Coturnix japonica: one gene and its partners. The protein of the gene in region 2 interacts with the protein of the main gene of each other region in a pairwise test. Links are inferred from orthologs where the notes say so. Each region holds a gene or a part of one and is shown on either strand. Other genes may lie near its edges.

Evidence for each region.
Region 1: the proteins of MOS (region 2) and myotubularin-related protein 9-like interact in binary tests that used the Homo sapiens proteins (3 or more experiments, as listed by UniProt). The link is inferred for Coturnix japonica from reciprocal best matches to the Homo sapiens genes MOS and MTMR9.
Region 3: the proteins of MOS (region 2) and SEC24C interact in binary tests that used the Homo sapiens proteins (3 or more experiments, as listed by UniProt). The two-hybrid records come from large-scale screens. The link is inferred for Coturnix japonica from reciprocal best matches to the Homo sapiens genes MOS and SEC24C.

What each region holds. Positions count from the first base shown.
Region 1 is NC_029538.1:4,521,015-4,524,760, forward strand, and holds the start of myotubularin-related protein 9-like, read left to right. Parts: upstream 1-1,220; 5' UTR 1,221-1,329; intron 1,330-1,710; 5' UTR 1,711-1,910; intron 1,911-2,017; 5' UTR 2,018-2,024; coding exon 2,025-2,221; intron 2,222-2,373; coding exon 2,374-2,433; intron 2,434-2,680; coding exon 2,681-2,789; intron 2,790-3,000; coding exon 3,001-3,126; intron 3,127-3,262; coding exon 3,263-3,436; intron 3,437-3,515; coding exon 3,516-3,733; intron 3,734-3,746. Other genes in the region: protein FAM167B, read right to left, coding at 1-166, 555-836. UniProt on the Homo sapiens protein: Acts as an adapter for myotubularin-related phosphatases. Increases lipid phosphatase MTMR6 catalytic activity, specifically towards phosphatidylinositol 3,5-bisphosphate and MTMR6 binding affinity for phosphorylated phosphatidylinositols.
Region 2 is NC_029517.1:100,576,254-100,579,999, reverse strand, and holds the start of MOS (proto-oncogene serine/threonine-protein kinase mos), read left to right. Parts: upstream 1-1,506; 5' UTR 1,507-3,746.
Region 3 is NC_029521.1:13,589,172-13,592,917, forward strand, and holds the start of SEC24C (protein transport protein Sec24C), read right to left. Parts: upstream 2,764-3,746; 5' UTR 2,627-2,763; intron 1,879-2,626; 5' UTR 1,823-1,878; intron 1-1,822. UniProt on the Homo sapiens protein: Component of the coat protein complex II (COPII) which promotes the formation of transport vesicles from the endoplasmic reticulum (ER).

The DNA of each region.
Region 1 (3,746 bases), on a different chromosome or scaffold from region 2:
TGCAGAGCAGATCCGAGTCCTCCTCGCAGCCCTCGAGGCCGAAGGTGGCGTCGTCCAGCATCTCCTTGTGCCGGTGGCAGACCTGCTCCACCTTCAGCCGGTTCAGCTGCGCCCGCAGGCGCATCAGCTGCTGTGCCAGGCGCTGGTCCGCAGCCTGCAGCTCCTGCTGGGGGGGAACGGAGCTGTCGGCAGGGGCTCAGAGCCAGCAGGGCTGCTGTGACAGCAGGGCTTGGTGCCAGAGCCTCGGGGAATCAGGAATACACACAGAGCCCACGTGTGCAGCACAGGCTGGGCACAGGGACTGGGATCTGCCCAGGTAGGTTTGCAGCCATGAGGCTGTTGCTGCCTGCACAAAGCAGCAGGGAGGGCTGACAAATGCAGAGCCACAACCCGCAGCGCTGGGCAGGGCAGGAGGGCAGAGCTGCAGCCCCGGGCACAACCCCACAAGCAGCGGCCGCGCTTGGAGCGGGAGCAGAGCTGTGAGCTGCAGCGGGAGCAGCCCTGGTGGGGTCAGGCACCGCCCCTCCGTGCCCCTCACCCTCAGCGTTACTCACCAGCTCCATCCTCAGCCACTGCAGAGCCTCCTCCATACCAGGGAAGCCACAGACGCTGCCGTCCCGCTCAGCCCCGGGCTGCCCCGAGGTCCCCTTCGCCCCCCGTGGGGTCGGGCTGCCCCAGGGCTGCCCCCGCACCCGCGCCTCCCACTCCAGGTACGAAGGGCGGCGGGTCTGCAGCTTCAGTTTGGCCGTGAGCGCCTTGACCCCAGCCAGGCTCTCCTCACCTGCAGCCGGTTCCTCCGCGCCCAGCTCAGAGAAGTTCACCTGGCCCAGGGCCATGGCTGCAGCCCGGCTCCCAAACCCCAAACGACCCCAAATCTCCAATTGCAGCTCCCAGCTCCCAGATCCCAAACCCCAGCGCACCCAGCAGGACGAGGAACGGCTGCGCCGAGTGCCGCCTATTTATCTACCCCCGGAACAATAAAGGTTGGGGATAATTATAACGGGCAGGAACTCGGCTTATCCAGAGGCGTGCAAAGAAGTTGCTTTTTGTTGTTGTTTTTATGTCCCTTTTCTTTCCTATTTGAGCGCCGCTGTCTCCGGTTGGGAGGCGGCTCCGTGTCCTCCCGGATGAAGCGCGGGGCGGTCGCGGGACGCGGTGCCGGGCTGAGCCGTCCCGCTCCACTCGCTGCGTGACACACCGACTTCCCGTCCGGGGCCGCTAAAAAAAGGGCGAAGGAAACGAGCAGCTCCACGTGCCCGCGGGGCGGAGTGCGGGGCCGTGGGCGCCCGGCAGCTGCGGGACAGCTGTGCGCTGCTGCGGGGCCTTAAGGTGGGTGCGGCGGCCCGGAGCCCCTCGCCCCCCGCTGCCGTCCCCTGACCCCACACGGCCCCGCTTGCTCCCGTTGCGGGGCTGCAAACGCGCGTGCACCCCCGGTGTGACCCCTCCCCGTGTCCCCTGACTCACTCCCCGGCCCCGCATCCACCGGCGGGGCCACCTTAACCCGCCCCCCCCCAGCGGCTCCGTTCCTGCTCAGCCCCGCACCCCGCGTGCCCCCTGTGTGCCCCCCGCCCGTCACCCCCCGGAGCCGTGGATCCATGGGCGGGGGTGGGTATTGGGGTTGGGGTGCACTGTGCGAGCCGCCCCCTCCTCCTCCTCCTCCCTTCTTCCTCCTTTTTCTCCCCTCTTCCTCCTCCTCCTCCCGCCCCACAGAACGGAGCCGATGTGAGGCTGCAGCCGGCCCAACTCCCCCCCAGGTGCCCCCCAGCCCGCACCGGGCGCGGCGTCCCTGCACCCACAGCCCCCCGAGCCCCGCGGGTCTCTGCCTCAGTTTCCCCACTGCGGTGACAGCAGCGCCGGGGAGGGGAGGAAACCAGCGCAGCTCAGCAGGGAGGAAGCGGCATCGGCTTTAGGTGACGACGCGAACGGGACGGGGGTGGCTGCACTGCGGGGAGGGACGGGGGGGTGGGGGGGCTCCAGCCGGGCTGTGCCGCTCAGGATTTCCCCTTTCTCCCTCCAGCACCGCCATGGAGTTCTCCGAGCTGATCAAAACGGCCACGGTGGAGAGTGTGCTGCTGTCGTGTGCGGGGCAGCCGGCGGTGAAGGGCACCCTGTGCATCACCAGCCACCACCTGCTGCTCTCCTCCTGCCCCGGCGGCGACGGGCAGCCCAGCGCCGTGGAGCTCTGGCTGCTCATCCGCAACGTGGACGCCGTGGAGAAGAGGTCGGTCCTTTCCCACCCTGTGTCCCCTCTTTGTCCCGTCCTGGATGGGGGTGATTCCCGGCTGCCCTCCCGGCACCGCAGAGCCTCCTCTCTCCTCTTCCCCATGGCCTGTGGCAGTGGCCATTGACCTCCTCTTCTCCTCCGTGCCCCAGAGTGCAGAATGTAGGCTGGTATCAGCCCCCCCACAGCAGCGGCTCCCCGCGGGACAACAGGTTTGGCTTTAGGTGCTCTCAGCTCCTCCATCTTGCCCGGCAGTGCCCGGCCCCACGCAGCTCAGTGGGGCGAGGATGGCTATGGCTGCTCAGAGGGGAGCTGGTGGGAGTCACAGCTTCAGGCACACCGAGATCCACCGGGAGCCCCGCTCAGTGCTGTGCCCTTCTCAGCCCCCCCGGACAGAGGGCAGCTCCGTGCTGTCTGCACGTGCAGCCCCTCCTGCCCTGACCCCGCTGCCCTCCCCAGGCTGGCCGGCTCCTCCGGCACCATCACACTGCGCTGCAAGGACCTGAAGGTGCTGCAGCTGGAGATCCCGGGCATGGAGGAGTGCCTGAACATCGCCAGCTCCATCGAGGTGAGCCGTGCCGGGCTGCAAAGGGTTCAGGTGGCTGCCCACGGTGTTTGCTCTGGGTCTGCCATTAACGTGGGTAAACACTCAGCTGCTCGGGCTGTGTTTGCATGGGGCACCCGCGCTGCCAAGTCTTGCAAGAAGGAACGGGGATGGGGTTTGCAGGGAGGACATTCCTGGCCTTCCCCCAGCTGTGCTGTGCTGTGCTGTGCTGCAGGCCCTCTCCTCGGTGGACTCCGTGATGATGATGTACCCCTTCTTCCACCGGCCCCAGACCCTGCGGCTGGAGGAGGGGTGGCCGCTGCTGCCCATGGAGCAGCACTTCCAGCAGATTGCCACGCAGGTTGGTCTTGGGGGGGAGGGAGGGTGTCACATCCCACCCTTAAGGAGAGGGAAGGGGTGACGGGATTGGTCCTTTACTCCTGGCTGGGGTGCAGGGGGAGGCCGCTCCCCCCTCCCACCTTCACATCTCCCCCCAGACCACCCAGTGGCGGCTGAGCGACGTGAACCAGGACTTCTCCATCTGCCCCACGTACCCTCCGGCCGTCATCGTGCCGGCGGCTGTGAGCGAAGAGACCCTGCGGAGGGCGGCCCGGTTCCGGCAGGGCGGGCGCTTCCCCGTCCTCAGCTACTACCACACCAGGAACGGCACCGTGAGTCCACATCCCGCCCCCCTTCCCTCTCCTCCCACCCCGCTGCCCGCAGGCGATGCCCGCAGCCCCCTTCCCGCAGGTGATGCTCCGCAGCGCGCAGCCGCTGACCGGCCCAAACCGCAAGCGCTGCCCGGAGGATGAGATGCTGCTGGGGTCGGTGCTGGACGAGGGCGAGCGGGGCTTCATCATCGACACGCGCTCAGCACAGACGGCCAAACAGGCGCGGATGACGGGAGGGGGCACGGAGCCCAAATCCTCGTACCCGCAGTGGAAGAGGCTGCATCGGCCGCTGGAGCGGTGAGTGCTGTGC
Region 2 (3,746 bases):
TCTGCATGCTTGGGATTGCAAGGAGTGATTTTACATACATCCAGTTTTCCTGGGTGTAGTTATTCTGATTTTGCAAAGGTGTAACTGTGTTCCTGACTGATGACTGGTAAAATGTCAGTTTTGCAGCAAATCTAATGAGCAGAAGTTTCTGCCTTTCATGATTTTACCAAGGAACAGACTGGATGATGCTACTGTGTCTGTGACAAGACAGATTCTAATAGAAGCAAGCAGTCGCATTTGCCATCAAGCTGCCCTTTTGAGAAGCTGGAAGGTGAGTTTGGGGGTCTCGTGGGAGAAATGGGTGAGCGATTCTCTCCATCACTTCAGATGAATGCAAGTGATTTATTTTTGTTGTCATAGATCGTAGGATAAACTGTGAGACTGTGGCATGTGTTCCAGGCACAGTGTGTGGGTTGCCTCTCTTGACACGCTTCCAGGAGAAACTTCACTGTTTTGATACCACACACCTCCTGTCTGCCTGTGACACTGCTGTGGAAGCCTCGCTAACAAGTCTGACTAATGCACTGAGTGAAGAAGTACCATGAAACCAGCAGCCTACCCACAGTTGCAGAAAGCTGCAGAAGAAAGTGCTCTTTTTCCATGTAGCCATTTTCCTAGCATGAATTGTTTGCCAGGAAAGGAAAAGAATTAGCGTTTGCTGTTAAGCTGCTTCAAATTTGCATTTCCTTGCTCTTCAAAATGTATATTACTAATGCCCTGCTCTTCCAATTCTTTAATTTTTAGATTTTCTCCTGTTCACCAGTCTGAAAGAGAGGATCTTTCCAGAGTCACTAACTGTGTCATACAGACACTTTTGCTTTCTTGCGACTCCCAGCTGTCGCCTCTGAACTGACTTGTCACTTCTGTGTCACAGGTTTCTAACTGACTTGAGAGAGTTGGCCATGGTAAGAGTCAACAGCTCTACAGATGGAGGAAGAGGCGGTACCTGTCTTCAACTGCTTCTTGTCCAGATTTGCTTGAAAGGTGTAGAAGAAAGGAATGGAAGAAAAAGATCTGTTATACTTTCTCCCTTTGCTTTCCCTTCTTTCCTTCCATTTAATAAGTGTACCCTAACATACAGAATGTTTGGGGTTTTTTTTTGACAGAGAAATCTAAACCTGTGCCCCTGAGCTCCTGTTAATCACAATTTCTGATTAATCTGAAATCAGTATATTGCCTAAACTTTTGTGTATATATATCATCGTATCATAGTATCACAGTCTCGTGCGGGTTGGAAGGGACCTTAGAGATCATCGAGTCCAACCCCCGGGATTCGAGCCTCTGTGTAGCAGAGCGGCACTTCTACCACTTGCGCCACAGGGGATTCGAACCTGGGCTCCGGTGTCGCAACGCGGCATTCCAACCACTGCGCCACCGGGGCACACTAACTATATATATATATAATTATATATACTATATATATATACAAATATATATACTATATATATATACAAAAGAGTGTGTGTGTGGTGTGTGTGTGTGTGTGTGTACATGTGTGCATGCATGGGGAAACTTTCCAAAGTTGAGAAATACATTTTGTTTCACTTCAAAAAATGTAAGCATGGAACTTCAGCATTTTTCAAGTCCAAAGTGAATCACGCTATTGGTAAAGGTATCTCCCACTTAACACAGTGCTTGGTTTCCCAGACACATTGGAAGAGTTTCTTCCAATTCCTCGATTTATCTACGAGAGGCAGCAGCTTATCTACAGGGTGCACAGCCTCCTGTGGGGAAGGTGTTTTTCAGCTACCCCTGTGTAGCATTAGATAGATATTCAGTAGAAGAGTCCTTGTTGGCAGAGCCTTTGAATTTAAGCTCACCTCTGGCTTATTGCCTTTTTATTAAATGATTGCACATGTGGTCATGGGTACATCCTTAAGTTTCTCTCGCAAGTACTTACACTGAAAGTGAAAATAAAGTATAGATGCTGTACAACTAAGGGGACATAAGATAAAGGAGCAACCTTTAAACTGTAACGTAGGAGCAGGAGTTATCTAACACTGAGGACAAGTAAGCATAGACTAACTTGCCAAACTCACTGAATTCTGTCCTGCTGCAGCCTAGCGATCATTACGATCATGGAGCTGGGTGTTATCAGTGGTCAGGGGTTTTGTGGGATGCTGGGATCACTGATCCTTCCACACATCACCTGCAACAGCAAGGGTTCAGTCCCAAGCATCAGCATTACATCTGCTGTGCCTGGGAAATCATCTATCACCTAGTGGTTGCGTAGCACTAATGCTGTCCCGTTGGCCCTTTGCTGTGGCTGATTCACGTTGCTCATTAAGCACAGAAGCCGTTTTCTATTCCCTGACCTACAACTCTCAAATTCCACCAATGCTCTTTGTTATCACCCCACAACCCAGCAAAGCTGTTTGTTAGCTGCGCTACAGGGGCAGGACTGCAAAAACACTCTTGGCCAATGTGGCTGGAAGCACTGCATGATGTGCCTGCCTTATACAGCAGTAATCCCACAGGGAGAGGCACCCATCTCTGTGTCACCTGAAAGTGTTCTGCGGTCCAGAGTTTCACCTTTATCATCCTCACACCTAAATTTAGACCATTTCGTCTCAAGGGTGCTCTTCTGCAACTGTGATATTAACCCACAGCACCAGGTTCCAAGTTGTAATCACTGGTCCAATTGTGTTCATAGTGAATGGGCCATGAGACCCCCCCCTGCTTTCCTCCAGCTGCCTCCAGGTAACACCTCAGAGCATTGCAGCAGGGAGAGCCTCTGCTTGCTGCTCTGAAACACAGTAACCTTTTGGGGATGAAAATAAAAAAATATGGAGCGACTGTTTGGCAGTGTGTGTTTGAAACTTGATCTTATTATTTATAAACCAGGATTTAACCTTTTAAAATGTTTATTATTATGGCTCTTTTCTAAAGAAGGGCTGTAAGATCGCATTGCAACTCCCGTGGATGCGCTTGTTCTTGGCATTAAGGTTTACCTCTCAGCGCTTTAATGAAAACTTGTCTACATTTGCTACTACAAGGTGTCATTTGCAAAGCAACCATAACTCCAAAATACAAACTATTCACTTCTGGCTCGTCCTTGCAGTTAAAATAAACAGTCGTCTGTGGCCCATCCTCAGAGCAGGCTGTGTGTATGGACTGGCTTCAAATGATGATGTCGCTTACGCCTGCACAATTGATTTTATCAGAACTGCTTTCATGCAACTCAGAATACCGTTAAGAGGTCTATGAAGTGTGACTGGAAGCAACACTTGCACTGTGAAATGAGGATAGAAGTGAGAAGGAACGTCAGTTTGTCATCAAACCCCAAAGTGAGATCACAGAGACTGACAGCAAGCGGAAAAAAAGCTTTGATTTAGAAAGGGTAAAGAAAACTCAGAAGTCACAAAGGTACAGGCTAAGGAGCCATGTTGTTTTCAGAGCAGAATAAGTACTTAGGAGATAAATGCAGGAATTTAATAGAAACAGTGCTACCTTAATACTGGAAAGCACTTCTTAGAAGACACTGAACACACAGGCCTAAAAGGGGTGTGTTTTTCACTGAGCAGATGCACAAATAAATAAACTAATGGTTGTGGAGAAGAATTTAACCATATGCTTTAAGAACAAAGGGGACAGACACTTTAGCAGGAACTGTTGTGATAGCACAGAGGGAAATGATTTCAGGCAGAATGAAAAGAGATTTAGACTGGATATAAGTGAAAAGTTTGTTACGATAAGGGTGGTGAGGCACTGGAATATGTTGCCCAGAGAGGTGGTGGGTGCCCCAT
Region 3 (3,746 bases), on a different chromosome or scaffold from region 2:
ACCACCATTCACTATGCATTTTAGGAGCCTACAAGGCTATCTGGAAAACGGCTTGTCTTTCATGTTGCTGAAATGCACCACCCGCTGCCTCACTGTGCTCACATCCGCTGTTTGGTCTCCATGAATATTCAGCAGGTGCCACTGAGCATCAAGGGGTGCCATTTTTGCTGGGTGAAGGAATTTCATGGTACTCCTTTGTTTCACGCGTGCTTCCATGTCAGACACAGTTTTGTCAGTCTGCCCCTCTGCTGCCATCTGTTGCACAGCAACAAAATGCAGCAGAACATTGCTGGGAAAGTTCAGCCTCTACTGCCATACCACCAACATAATGGGCCAACATAATAATAGGAGGCATTATGCTTGGAGCAGATATCGTATTTCATATCAAAACTCTCAATGGGCATTTTCCAACTTTTTAAAAGAAAAAAATAAAAAAGGCAGATAATGACCAGTGCCCTTGAAAAGCAGGAAAGCATTAGAGGTATTTGCAGCCCGAGTTACAATGAACATTTTCACAAGTCTACAGTGAACAAATAAATGCATGAAATAACAAGAAATTACTTTACAGTTATAAGTTCTTCTCTTAGTGCCAGACAAAAATATTTTTTATTCTTTCCTCTTCTAACAGGGCTTACCGGAAACATTTATTTCTTGGAAATCTGGACAGGAAAGACGTGACAATACTATGAAAGACTAACAAACATCTAAACTCTTCTCTTGCTCAGACATGAGCCATGGGCAACACTTCTGTTTCACTGCTGATCCCTGCGTTTGGAGCTGGAGAGAACAGTACAAGGAAGGCACTGAGAGCACTGAAAAAAGCCATCTAATAAACAAAAAAAGGCTATCTAATAAACAACAAAAGGCCATCTAATAAACAACAAAAGGCTATCTAATAAACAACTCCTTGTTTATTCTGCAAAGCATTTTCTGCAAAACATCCCGCCATAGAAAGGGTAAATAAGGACTCTGTAGACCTCCCTTTCTTACCAGGGGAAGTTCCTGCCTTAAGCACCAATTTCATTATGTATTACTGGAAAAACAAAGTGGTCCAAGCAAAGAAAAAAAAAAAAAAAGAAAAAGAAGAACTTTCTGTTGAGCAGCCTAAGGACAATCTATGGGCCAGATCGCACAGGAACTCCTTGCTCACAGATGCTGTACAAATTCAATTACACTGAAGAGTGCTTTAGTCTAACTCCACAGTGCCTGGATGAATGAATCAGATGAATAATTACTTCCATATTCTATTATAAAAGCAGTCATATTATAATGGGCTTGAAGCTAGCATGGATTCAGGGCTTCATTATACCTACTCTCTCTAAATCTTTCTCTTAATTATCTCCGGTCCCCAGGAGAGGGTTGAGGCCTTCTTTATTTGCTCTCTCTCCCAACATAGTTGGCTTGATTCCCAAAGCGAAAGACTAAAATGGAGTACGAAGTCACCAAGAGTAAATAAGTATCCTTCTAAATGCACAGATATTTTTTGTGTTATTTTAGAAGTGATAGAAATGTCACGGCAGCAGCTGCAGCACATTCTATTGTTCACAGAAGAAACAGCAGTTGAGCAGACACCTATATACACTGTTCTAGTACACTGTGTTTGTCCTGGGCAGAACAAAAGGTAGTTTGTTTGACAAAAGCAGTCCAGTGTTCTGGTCATACCTTACACATCTGGTACGGTATTGAAGATAAGCCTGAATGATCAGAAGCTGGTAATCCTGGCATATAGACATACATCTTTCAGATAAAGAACACTGGCAACAACTCATTTTGTGTACATTAAAAAGGGCTCAACAGCCAGGTAAAAAGAACTACAACTTACAGAACTGTTGGGATGCCTCCAGGGATTATCACAATATCTCTGAGATCTTGGGAACGCTGAAATACAAAGGCACAAAGGACAGAGTGTTAGCCCTCAAATCTACATGTTACTGTCAGATAAATGAATTATACCGTTCATTGAGGTTCATTAATACCAACAGGGAAGTATCAGCTGTACAAGATAAGGGCATTCCCCCCCAGGTCATCTTCAGCCTAACTTTACATGCACAATCCCAAATTGATAGGAAAGCAGCTCTTTACTCCAGTGAGCTCAAAATTTGTTTCCCAGGCACCACCAAAACTACTGCTACCTGAGTCAGCATTGTACCACCACACTGCACTGCTAACAGGAAAACTACGTGGTACAAAGTGCAGCTAATGCAATGCAAGGAATGTGAGCTAAATACTAGTACATTCAGAAAATCAAAACATATTTATTCAACAAGTGTTCCAAACTCTTACAGATCTAATTTCTGCCCACATTACCCAAATAGATGGTGCTGACCATGTGATGCTACAGGTCTAACCTGAGCAAGCCCAGCTGTGACATGAATTACATGCAAACCTCTGGTAGATGTGACCACATTGGCCTGCTCCCTTTAGCTACAGTCATATCCCACAGTGCTCACACCATACTTTGCAATCGTTAGGAATTACACACGCTCTGCAAGCACACTTCATTTGCCTCTGGCAAAAAGAAGACATTTATATCCAGGCAGCTCCATCCAGCAAGCTGCACTGCACCGGCTTAGGGCACTGATCCCATAATAAACTGCTTTGAGTAACAACAAGGCCAGGCCCGCACCTCGGTGCTGACACGGCATCCTCGGAGCTCAGCCGCCCCACAGACACATGGAATCACTGCTAGCTCCAGCTCCAGCCTGCATTCTGATCCTTGTGGGTACAGCTGTAGGGCTCCTCACCAAACAGAGTTAGCTCACAAGCTGCGGATCTTCTGCCTTTTGTGAGGGGATGCTACACCGGGCTGCCCTGCCCTGCCCTGCCCTGCCCTGCCCTGAGGGACACGGCCTGAGGGAGCGACCTCTACACATACACTAAACTCCCTCCGTGCTCTCGCGAGAGAAGCCGTCCCGCCTCTGTGAAGATGGCCCCTCTCGCGAGAGGCTGGCGGCGCGGCTGCTCGTAGCTATAGCAGCGGGAGATGAGGGCGGCCGAGGGGAGGGAGCGCTGCGTGTTGCGGCGGACGGCGGCAGGTAGGATTCACCGCCCCGGGAGGAGGCCGGGCTCGGGGCCCGCTCCACGCCCCTCTCTCGCCTCGGCACGTCCCCGCTGTAGCTGCGCGGTTGTGGCTGTGGGACGGAGCGCTGCCCGCAGCACGTTCCCTCACAGGGAGCTGCGCGGGGGCAGGAGGCCGAGGCGGGCAGGCAGAGGGGTCGGGCAGGCAGAAGTTGTTTGCTTCTCCTGGATTTGATTCCGTTTGAAGGTCTTTGGTGAGGAGGAGGATTATGTGTGGGGATTTCGAGGATTACAGCCCTAAATATAAACCACGCAGAACTCACCTTCTGCTTTCAGAAAGTTGCAGACAATGGTTTTCTGGCAGCTGCTGCTGAGAGCTTTAGTGCCTGGTTGTGAATGTGAAAGGAATCCAAGGAGCTTCCCAGAGTTCAGAACAAATTCTCAGTGTTAAAATCATGAAAATACATGCATGAAATTTGGGAAAAGCAATCATAGAATCTCTCGTGAGGTTTGAAAGAAAGAAGTATGTGCTGCAAACAGACCTTTGTGGGTTTGTGTTATTCTTCAGGCTTGAAAACAAATCCAAGACTGAAAGTTTTATTGTACAGAATACACGGAGTTCAGTAGCAGCTTTGGAAAACTAGTGATTTAGGAAGGCACACACACATTGATGTGCAAAGGGCTGAACTGAAGCTGGAAACGGTGCTGCTGATGGCTATAAAAGCATT